Elephas maximus indicus: one gene and its partners. The protein of the gene in region 2 interacts with the protein of the main gene of each other region in a pairwise test. Links are inferred from orthologs where the notes say so. Each region holds a gene or a part of one and is shown on either strand. Other genes may lie near its edges.

Evidence for each region.
Region 1: the proteins of CTNNAL1 (region 2) and RNF135 interact in binary tests that used the Homo sapiens proteins (3 or more experiments, as listed by UniProt). The two-hybrid records come from large-scale screens. The link is inferred for Elephas maximus indicus from reciprocal best matches to the Homo sapiens genes CTNNAL1 and RNF135.
Region 3: the proteins of CTNNAL1 (region 2) and DMD interact in binary tests that used the Homo sapiens proteins (3 or more experiments, as listed by UniProt). The two-hybrid records come from large-scale screens. The link is inferred for Elephas maximus indicus from reciprocal best matches to the Homo sapiens genes CTNNAL1 and DMD.

The regions. Positions count from the first base shown.
Region 1 is NC_064837.1:26,813,724-26,820,772, reverse strand, and holds the start of RNF135 (E3 ubiquitin-protein ligase RNF135), read right to left. Parts: upstream 3,013-7,049; 5' UTR 2,912-3,012; coding exon 2,552-2,911; intron 988-2,551; coding exon 844-987; intron 1-843.
Region 2 is NC_064827.1:58,455,089-58,462,037, forward strand, and holds the start of CTNNAL1 (alpha-catulin), read right to left. Parts: upstream 3,021-6,949; 5' UTR 2,911-3,020; coding exon 2,770-2,910; intron 1-2,769. UniProt on the Homo sapiens protein: May modulate the Rho pathway signaling by providing a scaffold for the Lbc Rho guanine nucleotide exchange factor (ARHGEF1).
Region 3 is NC_064846.1:143,367,325-143,374,244, reverse strand, and holds the start of DMD (dystrophin), read right to left. Parts: upstream 3,013-6,920; 5' UTR 2,787-3,012; coding exon of another isoform or gene 2,756-2,786; intron 1-2,755. UniProt on the Homo sapiens protein: Anchors the extracellular matrix to the cytoskeleton via F-actin. Ligand for dystroglycan.

The DNA.
Region 1 (7,049 bases), on a different chromosome or scaffold from region 2:
AGGAGCACCTGGAGGATTCGAACTGCCGACCTTTTGGTTAGCAGCTGTAGCACTTAACCACTACACCACCAGGGTTTCCTCTTGGAGCTACAGTAGGCTACATATTGGGGGTAAGGGTGGGGGTGACACGAATGGCTCCCAGGTTTCTGTCTTGTGCACTTGGAAGGATAATGGGGCCAGTCACTGAGATGGGGAGTCCCAGAGGAGGAACAGTTTGGGACACGTTAAGTGTAATGTGCCTTTGAGATACTCAAAAGGAAAAGATGAGAAGGAAGGTACCAGCCTAGACCTTAGAGAAGGATCCAGGATGGAAGTGTTTGTGCATACAGTGGTAATTAAAACCATGGGTGTGGGAAGACCACTTCAGGGGAAGAGAAAGGAACCTACAACTAAGCCTTGAAGAATTCCAGCATTTCAGTGCTGAGCAGAAAGGGTAAGCCTGCAAAATAGACTGAGAAGGAGCAGGTGGAGCTGGAGGGAGGACTGGGAAGCTTGTGTTTTGGAAGTTAAGGGAAGAGAATGCTTCAAGAAGAAAGGTGCAATCAATTGTGTTGAAGGCTGCTGAGAGGTCAAGAATCAGAGTGTCTGCAGGATTTACTTGGAGGTCACTGGTGATCTTAGAGCTTGGTTAGGTGCAGTGATGAGGTAGAATCTAGCTCAAAGCTTCTGGACCTCACTTCAAGTACTCCACGATTCTGATCATCTGTCTTTGGTAATAAAGAGGACAATGAAAGATTGAGATGTATTGCATCCCTCAACTCAAAATATATTCATGTTGTCCCAGTTGGAAGGCACCCTTTGCTCATCCCCCTCGCAATCTTTTCCTCTCCAAGCTAACCATACCGTGCCCAAGATGGTCAGTTCATTGTCTGCCTCAGATTGTGAGAGGGATCTCTGATTCTGAAGGCTCCTGGTGATGTCTACAAGCTGCTCCACCAGCTCTCCCAGCTCCCGACCAACTTCTGTGATGCTCCTCTGTGCTGCTGCCTTTAAAAGAGCAAAGATAGAACATAAAGCTGGACCCAGCATCCAGCACTGGACAGTGGCAGCCATAAACACTGGGTAAAGGAAGTAGGCAAGGAAGGGATGAAAGAACTAACTATTGTCCAGAAAATGAGCAGGTAGACCTTGCTCATTCCCGTTTCCCACTACTGATCTCCCAGTGGCCATAACAGGGAACCCTAGTTCATCCATGGGATGGGGATGGGAGTGAAGTGTGAAAGGAAACTTGTGGGTTGCTTTATGCAGGGGAAGTCAGAGGGGAAATGGGGTGAGAGAGCCTGGATTTGGCAGGGGTAGATGGAGGCTGAGAAGGTGAGTGGTGAAGCAGAAGGCACAAGGCTCAGGTCTGAGCTGGACTCTTGGCTATGGCTCATCCTGTGACCTCAACTCCCCCCCCCCCCCCACCTTCAGGAGTAAGAAGGATCTACCTAACCATCCATTGTAAAAATATCTTGGAGACTTTAAAGTATTACGCAGATACGAGCTCTTTTTGACATCCTTCACATTAAAAAAAAATTCAGATGAGAGTGCTAAACAACTCCACGCCAAAGAGCTTATTCTGCTGAGCTGTCTGGTTGGGGTGGGAGCAAGTTTGCAGCCAACACATACTGACAACGCCATCAAGACCTGGTGACATCCACGGAAGGCTGGACCCAGACCTTAAATGGAAAACGGTGGTCCGCTGTAGAGTCACAGAAATACAAGATGTTCATCATCCAACTCTAAATAGACCAGGTTTTTTGTTTAACTTTGGGCATTTTCCTTTTTAAAAAAATCATGTCGGAACTTCAAAAATCTTTGACCCAGAACCTTTTTTCATCTCTAAGAAGCCTAGATGTCCTCTCAGATAACATGTTTGGAACCCAGACTCAGGCTATTTTACAGAGGGAGGTGACAGGCCACCGGTAACACTGCTCGCTCTTAAGTTTCCAAGCCCCAGTTTTCAGGTACCTGGAACTCTGGAGTGGAGCCCTTATCCAGGCACCTGAGCTAATTCAAAACATTAAAAAAATAAGTGCATTACTTTTTACATCATAAAAGAAACGTACACTCATTGTACTGAATTTGAAAAACACAGAGAATTAATAAAGAAAATATGTTTTTACATCCTCCCATGTCCTGCCAGTCAAAGAAAATCACTTCAATTTAAAAGCCAATGTGAAGCGTATTCAGTCACCAAAAGCTATGTTCACGAAGAGTTTTAAGGACCCGAGGGATAATTCCGTGTTTATACCCAAAAGGAAGATGTACAATGTAGTCTCAACTCTGTTTGAAAAGGGCGCGGAAAAGCTGAAAAGAAATGGAAGTAAGGCCAGGTGTACAGCAGCTAGGTTGACAGTCGGTTCTACTTTTCCGAACTTTCCAAAGATTCGCCAAAGAGCGGGTTCTACCTTTAGACTGAGAAAGTTAACGTAAACATAGAAAGGATAAGGATGTTGGAGGGAAGAAGAGCCGAAAGGGGAGAGTGGGAAGGGGCGCTGGGAGGAGGAAGGCGGAAGGCGGCGCGGCAGGCTGCGGGCCAGGAGAGCCCCCAGGGCCGCCTCCCTACCGGCAGGGCTGCAGGGCGGCGCCGGGAGGCCGGGGCCGGGCCGGGCGCGAGCTCGGGGCCAGCCCCGCGGCCGCCCTCCTCCAGCTCGCGCACCGCCCGGCTGTACTTGTCGGCCAGGTCCTGCAGCAGCGTGTTCTTCCGCAGCGGCGGCTTCTGCGGGGCGCCCTCGCGGCAGGTGGGGCAGGCCCAGCGCGGCTTCTCGGCCCAGGAGCCCCACAGGCTCTTCAGGCAGGAGCTGCAGAAGCTGTGGCCGCAGGGCAGCGTAACGGGGCAGTCGAGCAGCCCGCGGCAGATGATGCAGCCCAGGTCGTCCTCGTTCAGCCACACCGGGATGGCCGGGCCGGAGTCCAAGCCCGCCATGGTGACGGCGGCCAGGCGCGGGGGCGCGGAAGTCAAGGCCCAGCTGGGGACCGGCCGCCCTCCGCCACTTCTCCTCTGGCTCCTCCCCCGCTCTTCCTCTCCCGCCTCCAGCCTTCCTGCTGCCTGGTCCCCTCCTCTCTCCCATCCTCCACTTTTCTTCTCTCCAAAAAAGAAAAAAAAGTGGCCCTTGAGTCGATTTTGACTCCTGGCGACCTCTTGTATGCAGAGAACTACCTTCCGTAGGGTTTCCAAGGCCGTGACCTTTCAGAAGCAGATCGCCAGGCTTGTCTTCCGAGGCGCCTCTAGGTGGGTTCAAACATTAGTAGAGCGCTTAACCGTTTGCACCACCCGGGGATTCTCCTTCTGTCCAGTCTCCCCGAAAGCTGGCTTAGTTTCTCCACTGCCCAGCTCGCAGCGTCTCATGCGTTGAGCCGGCCCTAAGTTACTGCCTCCCGTACTGGAGAATCAGCTGATCCCCAAATCGCTAGGAACTCACTGATGTCTCAAAGGCTCCCTATAGTTTGATGTCCCCATTAAGACATAACCTGGACAACTTTTGGGAGAAGGAAAAAGAGAGGATTCGATTCAACAGCTCACTTACGAGAATGCGCCCATTAGGTGACATCTAACCCCTCTAGCAAGTGGTGAGGAAATAAGAATTACCCGGTACCCATTAGCTAGGAAGCTCTTTAAAAATACCAAAGTTTGCACCCGACCCCAGAGAGTCTGATTTCATTGTCTGAGGTGGAGCACCAGCATGGTTTTTTTGTTTGTTTTTTTAATCGCTATTAATATTTGGTGGGGGTTTATTAATATCACACACAAGTAACATTTTGCTGAAGGTAATTCAGAAACGGTTGGGTAGTACATCACAGGGAACTGCCAGAAATTCAAGCCAGATTCAGAAGAGGATGTGGAAGGAAGGATATCATCACTGATGTCATATGGATCTTGGCTGAAAGCAGAGAATACCAGAAAAAATGTTTACCTGTGTTTTATTGACTATGCAAAGACATTCGACGGTGTGGATCATAACAAATTATGGATAAAGACAAAGATTAGGCAGGATTGTAAAACAAACAATAACATATGTGAGGAATATACTTCTTAGTTCAATCAAATATATGAGACCAAATGGGCAACTACTGCCCAAAAGCAAGACAAGAAGGCAAGAAGGGACAGGAAAACAGGACAAATGGACAGGAGGAACCCAGGGTGGAACGAAGAGTGTTGTCACATTGTGCGGATTGCAATCAATGTTACAGAACAATATGTGTATAGATTTTTTGAATAAGAAACTAACTTGAGCTGTAAACTTTCACCTAAAGCACAATTTTAAAAAGTTGGGGAGGGGGAATGCAAAACAGAATTTCAAATTCTCATGGATTCCAGGTTTCCTGGAGCCATGAAGGTTGGATGAACTGCTGAAGCTATTGCCCTGAGATAGTCTTTAAGCCTTAAACCAAAAATATCCCCAGAAGTCTTAAAACCAAACAATAGTTTAGCTTAACTAGTAAAAAATGTCTGCCTTGAGCCTTATACTCTTTTAAGGACTATCTATATGGGGTCAAATTGACAACAGCAACTTGAAAAATTAGATAGGAACCTTAGAGGGCAGTGAAGTTATTTTAATGGGGGAGGAATAACTCAGAAAAGGAGGGTGAGAATGATTGCACAACTTGAAGAATGTAATCAATGTGAAACTGTTGAATTGGTGTAATTTTTACTATGTATGTTCTCAACAACAAAATAAATAAAAAAGAAATTTTCTTTGATCTAAACCTCCCTTTAGCTACTACTTCTCCATTTCACAGCCAGGGTTCTTTGAAAGAGTTGGTTAACCAGTTGTCTTCAAACTTTTTTTTTCTTGGGCACCTCCTAAAGGTTTTATGCAAAAACATATAATGGTTACAAAAAAAAAAAAAGGATTTTTGTTTTCTTTATGTTGCGGTGTAATCCATACCGAAGGCTGTGGTCTTTGATCTTCATCAGTAAGTGCTTCAAGTCTCTTCACTTTCAGCAAGCAAGGCTGTGTCATATGCATATCACAGATTGTTAATGAGTCTTCCTTCAATCCTGATGCCCCGTTGTTCTTCTTCTTAGAGTCCAGCTTCTCAATTTATTTGCTCAGCATATAGATTGCATAAGTATGGTAAAAGGACACAACCCTGACTTCAAACCACGTAGTATCCCCTTGTTATGTTCGAATGATGGCCTCTTGATGTATGTACAGGTTCCTCATGAGTGCAATTAAGTGTTCTGGTATTCCCATTCTTTGCAATGTGATCCATAATTTGTTATGATCCACATTGTCGAATGTCTTTGCATAGTCAGTGAAACACAGGTAAACATCTTTCTGGTTTTCTCTGCTTTCAGGAGCTCTGGTGGTGCAGTGGTTAAGAGCTTGGCTGCTAATCAAAAGGTTGGCAGTTCAAATCCACCAGCCACTCCTGGAAACTCTATAAGGCAGTTCTACTCTGTCCTGTAGAGTTGCTATGAGTTGGAATCAGCCCCATGGCAACGGGTTTGTTTTAAATAAACGTTAGTTCTGACAATCCTTGTTTACGTACTTTAATAAATGGTAACAATGTCACACATTTGGTTGAACAGTTCTGAGATAAATTGTAAAATATCACATCATGATCTATCGTAAAAGTTATTTTTAATTATCTCTCAGCTGACAATTTGATTTTCCTTTTTTTTTTTTTTTGGCTGAAAGCAAGGAATTTGAAACCACCTGTGTTGCAAAAGTCAAAGGTATTCTGTTTCTGATTTTCTGGGAAGCATGCCAAAAAAGACTTTATTAAAGTTTATCAAATAACTATCAATTATACCAGTCACTCTTTTAGTAGGAGTCACCTTGTTTAACCTGATATACTCAGAAAAAGCTGGTGAAATTAGCATTTTCAACATGCCTTTGCTATATACTTTTTCGAATAGTTGCTTTCAACTGGTTGTATGCTTGAAATATATTTTCCTCAAAAATCTGTAGCTGTACTTTTAGCTTATTCACGTTTGCAAAATATTTGCTATATAACCTAATTAGCAAAGCCAGTTCCCACTGTCAAACCAGTCAGTCAATTCAGACTCAATTTCTATCAGAGAGTGATGTCATTTTTAAATTCAAGCGTGTTAATACACAGCTCTGTGATTCTGGTTCCCAGTGCTAAGTTAGATGAGAAATGGCAAGGTTATCGAGTGTGCACTGCACGAAATAACACGTTTTATCTGTGCTTTCTTTGCTTTGCTCTTAATAAATTCCTTCAGGGACAAAGAATTTTTTTGTCGGCAGAAGGAAGAGTTCATTACGTGAACATTGTCCTAACTTCCACTCCACTTTACGATAGGTGAATCTAAAACTTTGAACATAAGCCAGAACACCCAATTTTTTATTTTGTTTTTTAAATTGTACTTTAGATGAAGGTTTACAGAACAAACTAGTTTCTCATCAAACAGTACACACATTGTTGTATGACATTGGTTAACAACTCCACGACATGTCAACACTCTCCCTTCTCAACCATGGGTTCCCTATTACCAGCTTTCCTGTTCCCTCCTGCCTTCCAGTCCCTGCCCCTGGGCTGGGGCACCCCTTTTGCATGGGGTCTGTTTAATCTTTGGCTGAAGGGTGAGCCCCAGAAGTGATCTCATTACTGAGCTGAAAGGGTGTCTGGGAGCCATACTCTCAGGGTTTCTCCAGTCTGTCAGGCCAGCAAGTCAAAAATTTCTATTACCAAACAAAAATCTGCATAAAATAGAGAAAGTCATGAACCCTGACCTCAACGTCTTGATTAAAGAAGGCTTCACTGACTCTGTTCAGGGGATAAGAAGACAAGCCACAGGCTGGGGGAAAATGTTTGCAAGTCCTATATCTGTCAAAAAAATAGTATCCAGAATTAATTTAAAAAAAGCTCTCAAAACTCAACAATAAGAAAACAACCAGCTTAAGAAAGGGGCTAATGCACTTGGACAGTCATTTCATCAAAGATAGAAAATAAGAATGTAAATCACTAGCCGCTAGGGAAATACAGATTAAAATCGTGATGAGCGTCCACTACATACCTATTACAATGCCTGAAATAAAACACACTGACAATACTAAGTGCTAGTGATGATGCAGAGTAACTGGAACTCTCGT
Region 2 (6,949 bases):
AATCATTTTTTAATTTTAAGCATAATTTTCACTTTTTCTTGTTGAGTACAGTAAATCATTAGGAACCCTGGTGGAGAAACAGTTAAGCGCTTGGCTGCTAAGCAAAAAGTCTACGGTTTGAACCCACCAGTAGCTCTGTAGGAGAAAAGACCTGGTGATCTGCTCCCATAAAGATTACAGCCTAGGAAACCCTATGGGGCAGTTCTACTCTGTCATATAGGATTGCTATGAGTCAGAATCAACTCGATTGCGTACAACAATAGTAAATCATTAGGAATATCGGTTATAGTACAAAATGTGTGGGATGCAGAACCTTAGCTGTGGCCCTGCAAGTGGCTTTAACAGAAAAAAAAAAAAAAAAACCTGGCATTTCGCCCTTTGGCATTGACCTCTAGTTAACTCTCATCAGCAGAGCTGTTGAACTGATACGTTTTTAGCAGCAATACTGTGAAAGGTTACCATTTCTCCAGATTGCAACAATCGTCCAGCTTGTTTTCCATTGCAGGCTCTCTTTGTAGTACCTAACAGGTGACCTCATCACTGCTTCTAGTTTCTAGAGTGGATAGTCCCTGGGTGTGACTATGGAGCCAGGCTGCTTGAGTTCAAATCCTAGTTTCGCACATACTAGTTGAAAGATGGAGTCCTGGTGGCGCACTGGTTAAGAGCTCGGCTGCTAACCAAATGGTCAGCAATTTGAATCTATCAGCCACTCCTTGGAAATCCTATGTGGCAGTTCTACTCTGTCCTGTAGGGTTGCTATGAGTCAGAATTGACTGGACAGTGGGTTTGGCTTTTGGTTAGTTGAAAAACTGGAGGGAAATTATTTGACCTCCCTATTCTTTTTTCATTCCTCAGTTTCCTCATCTGTAAAATGAGAATAAACATATGGGCACCTTGTAGGATTGTTGAATGAGTTAATGGAGTACTATCGCCACTACCACCAGCTGCTGCCCAGTCAATTCCAACTCATGCCAACCCCAGGTGGTTCAGAGTACAACTGTGCTCCATTAGATCAGGAGGCCTCTCTTCCAAGGTGCCTCTGGGACTCCGGAGCACTATATACATATTGTTAACTAAACGCATACAAAACACTATCAACTTGAACTCAGCCATCCTCTTCTCCCCTCTCTGTCTCTTAAAACTGCTCCAGTATTTCTCACTTTCAGTTGTAGTTGTGTTGTTGTTCTTGGGGTGAAGGGACCAATTACTACAGACATTACTGACTGATCCCCGCACTCCTTCCCACTGGTCAGTACCTCAATCAGAAGTGTATGTGTGTCGTATACTCATTTACTGTTACCAAAAAACAAAGACCAAATCTGTTACCATCAAGTCTATTCCAACTCATAGAGACCCCTAAAGGACAGACTAGAACTGCCCCATAGAGTTTCCAAGGAGCACCCGGTGGATTTGAACTGCTGACCTTCTGATTAGCAGCTGTAGCTCTTAACTACTACATACCACCAGAGCTTCCCGTTTACTGTTAGCCATGCTAAAATAAGCACAGATGAAGAAATTGGGGTTATTTCATCAACATAACAGGAGTTTAGGGACATGTGTGACAGCTGTCTTCAAATACTAGCAAGGCTGTGATGGAGAAGAAAATTTAGAATTGTATGTAACAGGCCATTTCTCAAAGCTACAGGCTTTCCAGCCATCATTGAACATGTTTAAGCAGAAAACTGTTGACCAGGTGTTAAGGATGCTGTAAGAAAGAATTTTTTCTTTTTTTAATTTAGAGTCAGATAACCTCAAAGATTCATTCTACGTCTAAAATCTTGATAATACTGGTATGAATCATAAAGATTTTTACAATCAGTTGTGAGTCACACATTGCCAACCCGTTCCTGCAGGCACACCATTCTTCGCTCCTCACAGTGGTTGGCACATTACAACAGATCTGAGCGAGGAATTCTAGCCCTCGGGCTGTGTATAAATCAACTCAGAGTAACAAAAACCTTTCTAAAACTAAGCATCGGTTAGCTGATTCTTGACTTCTGTTATGACCAGCAATACAATCATGCATACCTCCCAAAGTGGGATTTGGCAAAAAGGTGTGTGTCCTAGTTAACTACCAGATAGTCCTCTCTTCCAAGACGCCTGACCAAGGCTGACCAGGAGGGGCTGGCAGGTTAAGGAGAAGGTGCAGGGTGGCCCAGGGTGAAGGAGAGATAGGCGGAGCCGACACACAGGCAAGGGAGAGGGACAAAGGCCTCGGGGAGAGCACGCTGGACCTGGCTAGTAGGAAGTGCCCAAAGTGGCCGACAGTCCTGGGTTTGGATTGGGGATGCAAAAGTTTGACCTCAGTCGGTTAATGAGCGGCAACGAGGAGGGCCCCGGGACAGCTGGGGGCCTTCAGGTCTTCTCAGCCTCCCGGGTACTGGGCATGGCTGCCTGTCCCAGCGGAGGCGGCCTCGCTCAGCCGGGGGCCGCCTGCGGCCGCAAGCCCGAAGCCAGTCCTGGGGGCAGACCGGGCAGCGCACCTGCCGGGCCAGGCACCCGAGTCCGAGCCGGGCTCCGCCGAGCCGGCCCAGCCGCCGCCGTCCCGCAGCCTCCCTGCCGCTCAGCCCCACTCTGGCCTGGCCGCTGCATTTCAGATTGCCCCGATTCCCGGCGCCTGAGCCAGGCCCGTCCCTAAGCCCAGCCAGGCCGTCCGACACCGACGGCGCAGTCCTCCCGGGCCGGCCGGGCCCCGGCCGAGCTGGAGGCCGCCGCCATCGCGAGCCGCAGCTGGAGGGAGACGAAGGGCTGCGCTGGGCGCCACTTTACCTGAGAAACTAGCGGGAGCAGCGTCTGCTCCACCGAGCGAGTTTTGATCTCGAGTCCGGAGTCGAAGGCGAAGCCCGACGGGCTGGAGCCGTGGAATGTTCCGGCGCCGCCAACGCCAGCGGGGCCCGGAGAGGCAGCCATGGCCCTCCGCCGGTGCCTAAGCCCACACTCCGCGCCGCTGCGGGCCCGCTGTCCGCCGGCCCACCAGCCCGCGGCAGCAACAGCAGCAGCGCAACCGCACCGCCCGAGGCCCCGCCCCCGCCCAGCACCGCCCAGCCTCCGCCTCCGCCTCCGCCTCCGCCTCTGCCCCGCCTTCATGGCCTACGCGCTCCAGGGCAGCTCCGCTCTCCGCAGCCCCGCCCAGCCCCCCACTTCTGACTCCGTTGCCTGCCCCACCTCCTCCTCTCCTCAGGAGACCTGGGTGGGTTCCTGGCCGCTCTCCACGGCTAGAGTAGGGAACTACTTGGGAAGGATCACAGCCACTGAAAACCCTGAGGAGCACAGTTCTCACACATGGGGTCACCATGAACCATAATCGACTAGAGGAGGGTAACTGCTAGTTATAGTTCACCCTCCACCTTAGCCAGGATCATTTCTCCATTCACAATGTCAGACTGATACTACCAACTCCAGGTATCTGAAAGGTCTTTCCCAAGCACTGCTGAAACGTGCTTCTGATATTACTTCGCTTTATAGGCTCTTCAGGTTTGTTCACCAGTGTTATGCACAGCAGTTATTTTTCCTCTGTGAAAGTCCTATATTGAATAGAGTCATAACTTACGGCCTCAGCCTTGGACACCCTTCAGGCACCCACTCCTCAAATACAGCTTCCCTTACTTAAACTGACCATATTTCAAAAAAACTTCACTGTAGCCTAAGTAAAAGGCAAGACACAAGGCCTAAGAGACAGATGGACATCTTCATTAAAGTTTGGCTTCACTCTTTATCTCAACAGAAATAAGACTAAGTTTACCACCAGATTCATTGAACACTATTAATTTTATTTCAAAATATAAACATTTTACATTTACAAAAGTTACATCAGTAGGTTGTCAAAGCAGGTTAAAGCTGAGAAACAGCATTTATGTGAGAATAAAGAATATTTACTGTTGTATTTGAGTACTCTTTTTACTTTCAAACCATCTTTACTTTGCCTGAGAATGCTGAGTTGATACATTTTCAAAAGGTTACATTAGCAATTACAACTAGATATATCAAATCCTGACCTCAAAATTAAACAATATTTCCAAGAACACTTTAGTCACCTCAACAAGTGGCACTACAAAGGACAAAAGAAGGGTCTTCTTTGGATTAGCTACAATGAGTTATTTTCCTGGTCACTGCAATAGAAATGGTATTTCAATAATAAGCCAAAACGTTACTTTAAGATTTACTTCCGCACCTTCCATTGTACAATACAAAGCTAGAAACAAAAAAAGAAACGAAACCAGGTGTGGAGGAAAGAACGCTGGACTTGGAGTCAGAAGTCCTGTAACTGAAATTCTGACTCCACCGTTTTATGGTATAAAGTTAGGGGAAATTCAACAAACCTTTCTGAGTCTCCAGTGCCTCATCTGTACAATGAGGATAATACTTAACACCTGCCTCACAGGGTTGTTATGAAAAGGGATCTGAAAACTCTAAAGTGCCATACAAAAGCATCACTAAAATGTAATAGCAACAGATCACCACTGTATCTGCACATTAACTGATTCTTTACAAACTTGCAAAACTAAGCATAAATACTGATTTTACACACCATAGGTGGAGAAGAATCTCTATACTTTAAGTATAGCTCTGAAATGTAAATTTTCTCGCTCTCTAGTATCTCACTAAACTTTGAGATTTATTACCTGGTACCATGGTAACGATTTACTATTCAGTGTTTTCATCAGGATGTCTTCTAAAGGGCTGTAAACTTGCTCTACAGCCGTGTTTCTTAAAGGACCAATCCTTTGAGATTCTCTGAATAAAGAAGGAGGGGGGCAAGTCTAGTAAACACAGTCTTCAAACCCTCTTATAAATTCATGGCATGTAATAGTACATCCCAGAGCCCTAGTGGCACAGTGGTCAAGAGATTGGCTGCTAACCAAAAGGTCAGCAGTTTGACTCCACCTGTCGCTCCTTGGAAACCCTACTGGGCAGTTCTACTCTGTCCTATAGGGTTGCTATGAGTCAGAACTGACTCCACAGTAATGAGTTTGGTTCTGGTAACAGTAAGTTAAAACCTCTTAGAGGTCCTATAGAAAGGAAGCAAATTCAGCATTCCTCAATTTTAATAAACCATAAAGTCCCTTCCCCTTCCAACATTTTTTCCCCCTCTTACAACATCTATTAACATCCCTTAGAACAACTGCTATAAGGAACATATATTTTGGCAAATGCTGTTCAAATACAGGGAAAAGGGAAAAGAAGTAGAACAATGAACTGAGGGGAAAAAAACTATTCTACTCAAAATTCTGTTACTAACTGGCTGTGTGTGTTAGACAAGTCATGTTAAACTACGAACGTGTTTCCTTCTCTAGAAAATGACAGAATCACCTAATTATGTAAGATCCATTCTAGCTGAGAATTTCTGACTGCAGGAAGCAGACAGATTAGCTTCATTTTTAAACTATCCAAAAATAACTACTTAGTGGTTTCAGATAGTGTTTATGTATTTCTTGCAGGTCCTCAATATATTAATAAAATTAATGTATTTGATGATGAAATACATAAATGACAAAAAATTGTAAAAACAAAAGTACTTGTTCTTATCTAGAACTAACATTTGGGAGTATGTTGCCAGAAACTATTTCCAGTGTGAAATGCGCCCACTAAGCCCCATTGTAATACTCATGTAAGGGTCTAGGGAGACTTTCAGCACAAGAGTTATGTGAAGTCCTGAAGGGGTCCTTCCTGTAAACCCTGAGACTGAAAGCTCTGGATAGCTCACTAAACTAACTTAATCTGACCCATCATGGCCTGAATTTCTGAGTATCTCTTGCCCAGTATTGAACATTCCTGAAGCACTAATACATCCATATGAGAACTAGAGGTACTAGAAAATTCTGATGGGTCACAGTGGGTTCATGTTAAGACTAAGTTTAGACCTCATCTGCAAGCCCTTTAGCAGCATACACTTTAACTGGTATAAACAGCTGCCACTTCCAAAGAGTACAGAATTTTTAAATACACAGTCTCCGTAACACTTCCCAGGTATCCTCCCACTGTCAGGAATCAACCCACACCAGTCTCAGAAATCAAGGAAGAACTCTGCCAGCTAACCATCTTTCATGGAAGACGGTGTTATGAACCCTCGCAATTAAACAGCAACAAAAAATAAGACTGGCATCTAAGGCAGTCTGACAGACAGAACTTTTAGGAACAGAGTGTAACAGGAATTTCGGACTTAAATGACATGGGGTTTATGTTGAAAATTCCATATCCTGTCCTCATTCTCAAAAGAGAGGAACAATTCTGTAGAGAGGGTTTCAATCTCCTCCTCTCCCTGCACCATGCCCTCCCATTCAGCTTACAATTGAATAGTGAATGTGTACTTGAAACTAATCTTTAATAAAGCTATAAAATGACAAGATATTGTGACAGGATTTATGGACTTGGTTTTTACTGAAGCAAATTCTACCTCATCAATGCATGGTTTGTTCCTAGGGAAGCTCTTTCTGGGTCATACCACTTGGTCTCTACGCCCTGTGAGAATTCTATAAAATCTTTTCACTATATTTGAAAGTCTTTAAATAGGGTAGAGAGGGGGCATGCTAGGCTGCTCCTCTCTGTCTCCGAGGGTCCCTGTCAGACTCCCCCCAGCTAGTTAACCTTCCTATTCCTCACACTGTCACTGGAGTCCTGTGGCAGTTTGTTTCCTGAGTGGGAGTATGTTGCTCTGTAGGGTACCTCTGTTCATGATATTTCAGGGGGATACTGCATCATTGCTGCTAATTTTGGCAACTCTATTCTCTTAGTGCTTAGAGTACTTAAAGTTTCCCTCTAAAAACTCCATATTCATACTAATAATTATGCCCAGCAACAGTCATATGTTAGCTTAAGTTTAGTTACTTGCAATATCACTTTATACAGCTAAAAGCACTTTACCAAAAAGTAAAAAACCAAACCTGCTGCCATGGAGTTGATTCTGACTCATAGCAACCCTACAGTATAGGACAGAGCAGAACTACCCCAT
Region 3 (6,920 bases), on a different chromosome or scaffold from region 2:
CTGTCTTTACAATGGAATAAGGAATAGTTTAATGAAAAATATGATAAATTGTTTTTATTAAGTTAGGGAAATAATACAGCACAAGGTAGAAGGAGACAGAAAGTTTGGAAAATCACTTTGTTTTACTCATGAGATAAAGCCATGATGAAAGAAATATAATAAAATTAAAAATAAAACACCTGACTTTTCGAAGACGACAAAGATTTTAATCTCTTTTATTAAACCACACAAGTGGTTAAGAACTTGGCAATTTGTTTCACATGTAGCAAGTGGCTTAGCGTGCAAGAATTTCAAATGAATACAGCACTTCAAGACTAAAGAAAAAGCTCTATTAAGTATCCCTGCCCAACTCGTGAATCTATATTTCAGTATTGTCTAGCTAGAATAGTGTCAACCAATAACTTTTTTTTCTTACGTAAGTTAAATTTGTAAAAAACACTTTGCAGGTGTTTTATGTATTTTTTTTATTTTAGTTTAGATGAATATCTACATGACATTCTCTATTTTTCATAATGTTATGCCATGTAAGAGACACTAAAAGCTTCTTATTAAATTAAAAAGTATACAATCTATTTAGATCAGCAACCTCTTTTTCATAGTGGTAAGATGCCCTTAAAAGACTTTGCAAATTAAATTTTAAAATAGGATTTTATTAGACTTCAAGATAATTTGGAAACGTAGGTGTAGTGGTTAAGAGCGATGGCTGCTAACCAAAAGATCAGCAGTTCGAATCCACCAGGTGCTTCTTGGAAACCCTATGGGGCAGCTCTACTCTGTCCTATAGTGTCTCTGTGAGTCGGAATCGACTCCATGGCAATGGGCTCTGGTTCTAAGATAATTTACAGCATTTTAAAAAAATGAATGAAATGTACACATGCAAAGAATTACACATATAATCCTTGTCAATGAATTATTGAGCAATCCTCAAAAGTAAACAGTATTTCTGTTAATATAGTGATCTCCTCTGTTAAAGTGTAACTATTTTGGTTTAAAAATAACCAAATGAAATGTAATTGTATCCTTCTGAATTTTCAAACCAAGGCATTTTTTTTGTTGTTGTTGTTCAAACTGGACTCACATGCAAATACATCAAAATAGTAGTATGTTGTCAACTGGTAAAATTTAATGTGAAATATAGCCCTGTGAATGTGTCCATTTTCTCTTAACAAACCCACTATCATGTAGCATAAGCATTACCTGCTGATTTTAAAATTCACTATAATAAAGTCGTACAGGGTATGTTCCCAAAAGGTTAGCTTTCTTAAATTCGAATTAAGACATTAAAAAGATATTTAAATATCTATGACAAAACAGAGAGTAGGTTGGCCTTGCTTCATTCCAGAATTGTCTCTTTGCTTTTCTTTTAGAATTGGCTTACACACAGGTATATGAAAGTATGTGTATGCATGGCTACATATATAGACACAAAAAGCACACACAAAGAACGAATATATGTTATATGTTTTTGTCATTGTAGTAAGTGAATGATTTTCAGTCAGAAAGCAACACTGATGCTCATCAAATTAATTTCTAAAATAAGGTAAAAATATCAGTAAATGCTCCACTACGAGACCTGGGAGCAGCTAATACAAACCAGTAAACAATAGTAATTTATTCCTAGAAATCTTTCCCAAGGGTAAAACTTCTGTTCTATTTCACCAGAAGCTGTGAAGAGTTACTTACTTAGAGAGATTTACTTTTTCATTCTTAATTATGGGTGTTGCTCTTGTACCTATTTTAGAGTGACTGGAATCCACAAGTCAGAGATAGAAAAAAAGAAAAAAAAAAAGATGTGTCCTTCATCCACCTCTTTGGGACACACTGTTCTCACCATATATTATTTTTATATCCTATTTTCACCGTAGTTAATTTCTAAATTTGGCAGAAGTCATCGTGACTTCCTTAAAAATAAACATAAATGTTGTATTTTAAATAAAAGCCTGACTATAGAGCTAGGCCGTCATAAACATGAAACAATGAACTGACTTTGGTAACTTTACTGCAAAATATGATTGGAAGTCCTTCACCTTTATGTTGTTTTCCCAAGAAACAGAGTACATGGTCATTTGGCAATACAGATCATATCAGCATTTGAAAGAATTCTCATGAAATGCTACAGAAAAGAACGTTCATAATACTAAATGTAATATGAGAAGGGAGCTTCTATTTAAATCTTTATCAATACTTTTCCCAACCTCCATTTCTCTATTACAATTCATTGTATTCTTTATTTTTTTTCTCCTCTGATCTGCCAGATACAATTTTCTAACCTCGAGGTCCCCACCTCATTCCCATACAACAATTAGTTCATGAAGAAGATATGTCAGGTCACTACCCAACATGTAATATATAATATTACATGTAAGCATTACTAAATACAGAAGTATCAAAATCATCAGGATAATAACTCAGAGACACAAACTATTTCACAGCAATCAAAGCGGTCTGTTACAAGCACTCAAAGCAGTGATGCTTATTCTATTATTTTAGGAGCTTCTTAAAATAAGAAAGATGTGTTAGGTGCAATTTGCAAAGAAAACATTTTGAATTCTACCTCCTTTCTGTTGAAAAGTTTTCTCAATGAGAGGTATGTACACCTTCACATATATGGCTATGTACAGTATATATAAGACAACATTTATGCTTATTCACAGACTACTATACTAATTTAAAATCAATTTGCCTCATCAGTGAGCTTGTCACAAACTAAATGTTAAGCCATGGCAAAAGATATTTTTAGTTACTTTGTACTTACAACAGTCCTCTACTTCTTCCCACCAAAGCATTTGGAAAATAAGTATATATCAGGGCAGCGATAAATATCTTGGTAAAAATTTCTTCCAACTTTATTGCTCGAGTAGGCTTAGGAATGATGAGAAACCAATAAACTTCTGGAGCCTTAAAAAAATACTTCAGTTTTCCTATCCGTTTCTCTCTGAAGGTAATTGCCTCCAAGATCTGAGCCCTGTAGGGGAAAAGTGAGTGATCCCAACACTGAGTGAGTCAACATAGTGACTGGTGCCAGAATTCTGTAGAGGCCTCTGGATACTTCAAATTCCAGGACCTGCGCAGAAGCAAGTGACCCGCCTTTCCCTCAAGTTGGTTTCCCATAATAGGACTGCCCATGGACACTACATATAAGGTTGTTCTTCCAGCATGGCAAGTCCTGTGAATTCAAATAACGTTCAACTGTATTCTGGTTAATATCCAAACCAGAACAGCATAGTGGACAGAGAACTTGTTCTCCAAGACTTCTCAACACAAAAACTGCACATTACAAAAATGTAACAGTATTTTCTGTGACTTTTTTTTATGCAGTTTTATAAAATAACAGAGCAGAATAGCCTGATCTAGAACTGATTTTTAATGTCTCCCCCCCCCTCCCGCCCCCATTTCTGAACAACACTAAAAATTTCACTCTACTGACACAAAAAGAAATGCCTGGAATAATCTATGCATTTGTTATACATCCAGTGTCTACAAAAGGTAATTTCTACCGTTGGGAACTAATCAAAAGCCATGTATTGATGATCCCAACAATCTGAATAAGAAAAGCAACAGACGAATGTGGCAGCTGATCTCTGAACGCAGAATGTATGTAGGTCTCCCAGGACTAGTTTTCTGCTAAAATAAAGAGCACTCTTACAATGGAACGAAGAAATCCCAGTTGCAGGTTATGATACAACTTCTTTACAAACAAATTACTCTTTCTTCAGTTTCTTTGGTGACAATTATTAAAACACCATTCTCTTAGACATTAAGTTAAAGATCAATTATTTAGTGGCTCACAACAGAGGTTTCCTTTTGTGTTAAACGAGCACAGTTTTAACCTGTCATTCAGGATGCTTGTAAATCGTTCGTTGCCAATACAAAGCTGCTTCTTTTTCTTTATTATTATTGTTTAATGAGACAGGTACATGCAATATTTATAGAAAACATTAGTGACTTTTTTTGAAAGATATTATTTTTGATTATACTAATCCCTGCCAAAATTATTTGAGTGTTGTTTTTTGTTGTTGTTGTTATTGTTAGCTGCCGTTGATCCGGTGTTTCTCTAGTACCATTATTAAAGCGATGCACTCATTTTTCTATGACAAACATTCAATTGCTTGGCACAGAAATAAATTATAGAAAAAATTGATATATTAAGATATTTACCAAATATTATAAATATTATCAAATATTTACCAAATAATATCAAATATTATTATGATGATAAGAATATCATCATAATAATATTTCCATTTTCCCCAACAAAACTTTTATATAGGTTGTCCCTGGATTACGAACATCTGACTTACGTACAACATGTAGTTACAAACCAAGCCCTGTAAAGCCTATGATGTACCTACAATGCTTTATAATAACAAATGGTACTACTTTGTGACACACATCAAAACATTATTATTACTATATTATTACGTTAAAGATATTTTAGTGTATCTGGAAGTATTTCTTTAATGTTTTTTATGCATAGAAAGATACATTATATACTGACAAACATCTGCTAGCTGAAATTAGATAGCAACTGTACCTAACTGTTCTGTCTTAAGGTATAAATTTGACTTAAAGACAGGCTTAGGAACGAAACTCACTTGTAATCAGTGACTGCCAGTAAAACAAAAAGCCTAATTTTTAAATTTAAGGTTATTTAAATTGCCATTAGCCAAAAACAGATTTAAAATGTTCCTATCCATAGGTCACCTTATTTCCACTCCTTAGTGTGGTTGTCTAAATATGCATATAAGCAACCATTTTTATTCATTCATAAAACAAATGTTTGGGGACAGAATTGAAAAAGAAGCACATTAAAATATTATCTATAACTAAACATACACTGTATGTGTATGATGTCGAAATAATTTTAAATGATAAGGTTATAATTGTTTATAGAGTAATTTACAGAGACCTATAATTTTTCAAAAACGCAAAGCATATTTCTATTATATTAAAGTAATGCATCGCATCAGCATGTTCTTTTAAATTACTCTTTAGCCTACAGTTTTATGATCCATGTCGTAAAATGAAGACTAGACCTTACTTGTATTCCAATATTACCAGTAATCCCTATATCATAAAGTAAACAACAAATTAACTAGGAAGAGCCAAGTGTGCTAAACTTAAAAGTGAACAAGGAATAAAATCTTAACGAAAATCCCTAAAGGCATTTGTCATGGATTGAATTGTGTCCCCCCAAAAATGTGTATATCAACTTGGTTAGGCCATGATTCCCAGTATTGTGTGTCCTCCATTTTGTGATTGTAATTTTATGTTGAGAGGATTAGGGTAGGATTGTAACACCACCCTTACTCAGGTCACCTCCCTGATCCAAGGTAAAGGGAGTTTCCCTGGGGTGTGGCCTGCACCACCTTTCATCTCTCAAGAGATAAAAGGAAAGGGAAGCAAGCAGAGAGTTGGGGACCTCATACCACCAAGAAAGCAGCACCAAGAGCAGAGTGCATCCTTTGGGCCTAGGGTCACTACACCTGAGAAGCTCCTCAACCATGGGAAGATTGAGGACAAGGACCTTCCTCCAGAGGTGACGGAGAGAGAAGGCCTTCCGCTGGAACTGACACCCTGAATTTGGACTTGTAGCCTACCAGAGTATGAGAGAATAAATTTCTCTTTGTTAAAGCCATCCACTTGGGGTATTTCTGTTACAGCAGCTCTAGCTAAGACAGCATTATTTTAGAGAAATCGGGAAGGGAGTGGGTTATTCTCCCCCCCCCCCATAACAAACTATTTAAGGTATTTTTAAGCATTAAGATGAATGCAGTTTCACAGGATAATAGTCTGGAAAGAAACACGTCTGATATTTATTTAAAGTTCACAACTTTATTGATTTGGGAAAAATCATTTGGTGGTCATTTATGCCACCCTTCTCCACAGTGATTCATACTTGTTGAAATGTTGCACCTTCTGTAAAGTCATATATTTCTAAGATGTTTTTAAAATTTTCTTTTTACTTAAATCCAATTGAATTATTTGCTAGTTTATGGGCTACTTTATAGGCACTCAGGCCAGGAAAAAAAAAAAAAGACAATTACGATTTAGGCAATTTGGTGCTTGTCTGTATATACAAAAATTCTTGTTGGGATTTTGATAGGAATTTCATTAAATTAAAAAAAATTGATATCTTTACTATGTTAAGTCTTCCAATCCATGAACATGGTATTCTATCTCCATTTATGTAGTTCTTTGATTTCTTTCAGGATCCCAGTATTAGGGAGAAAGCATTCAATCTTTCACCATTAAATATGATGTTAGCTACAGGAATTTTTTGTAGGTGTTCTTACCAAGTTGAGGAAGTCCTCTTCTATTCCTAGTTTTCTGAGAGTTTTTATCATGAAAAGGTGCTGAATTTTGTCAAATGCTTTTATTTTTTCCCTGCATCAATTCATAGGATCATGTGATTGTTCTTCTTTAGCCTGTTAATATGATGGATCAAATTTTGTTAAGGATTTTGGACCTACATTCATGAGGGGCATTGGTCTGTATTTTTCTTTTCCCTTTCCTTTTTTTTTTTTTGAGGAGGGGATACTGTGCTGGTTTTGGAAACTCTGGGGGCACAGTGGTTAAGAGCTATGGCTGCTAACCAAAAGGTCGGCAGTTCGAACCCACCAGGTGCTCCTTGGAAACCATATGCGGCAGTTCTATTCTGTCCTATAGGGTTGCCATGAGTCGGAATCAACCATATGGGAATGGGTTTGGTTTTCTCGGTGTGCCGGTTTTGGTATCAGAGTATTGCTGGCCTTGTAAAGTGTATTTGGAAGTATTTCCTTCTCTTCTATTTTCTGGTAGTTGACAGTTCTTTTCTTTCATCACATGAAAAAATATTGTGTCACTTCAATCTGGTCTCCACGGTTTCTCGTAAGAAATTTGCTGTCATTTGAATTTTTTCCCCGTATTGATAAACTGTC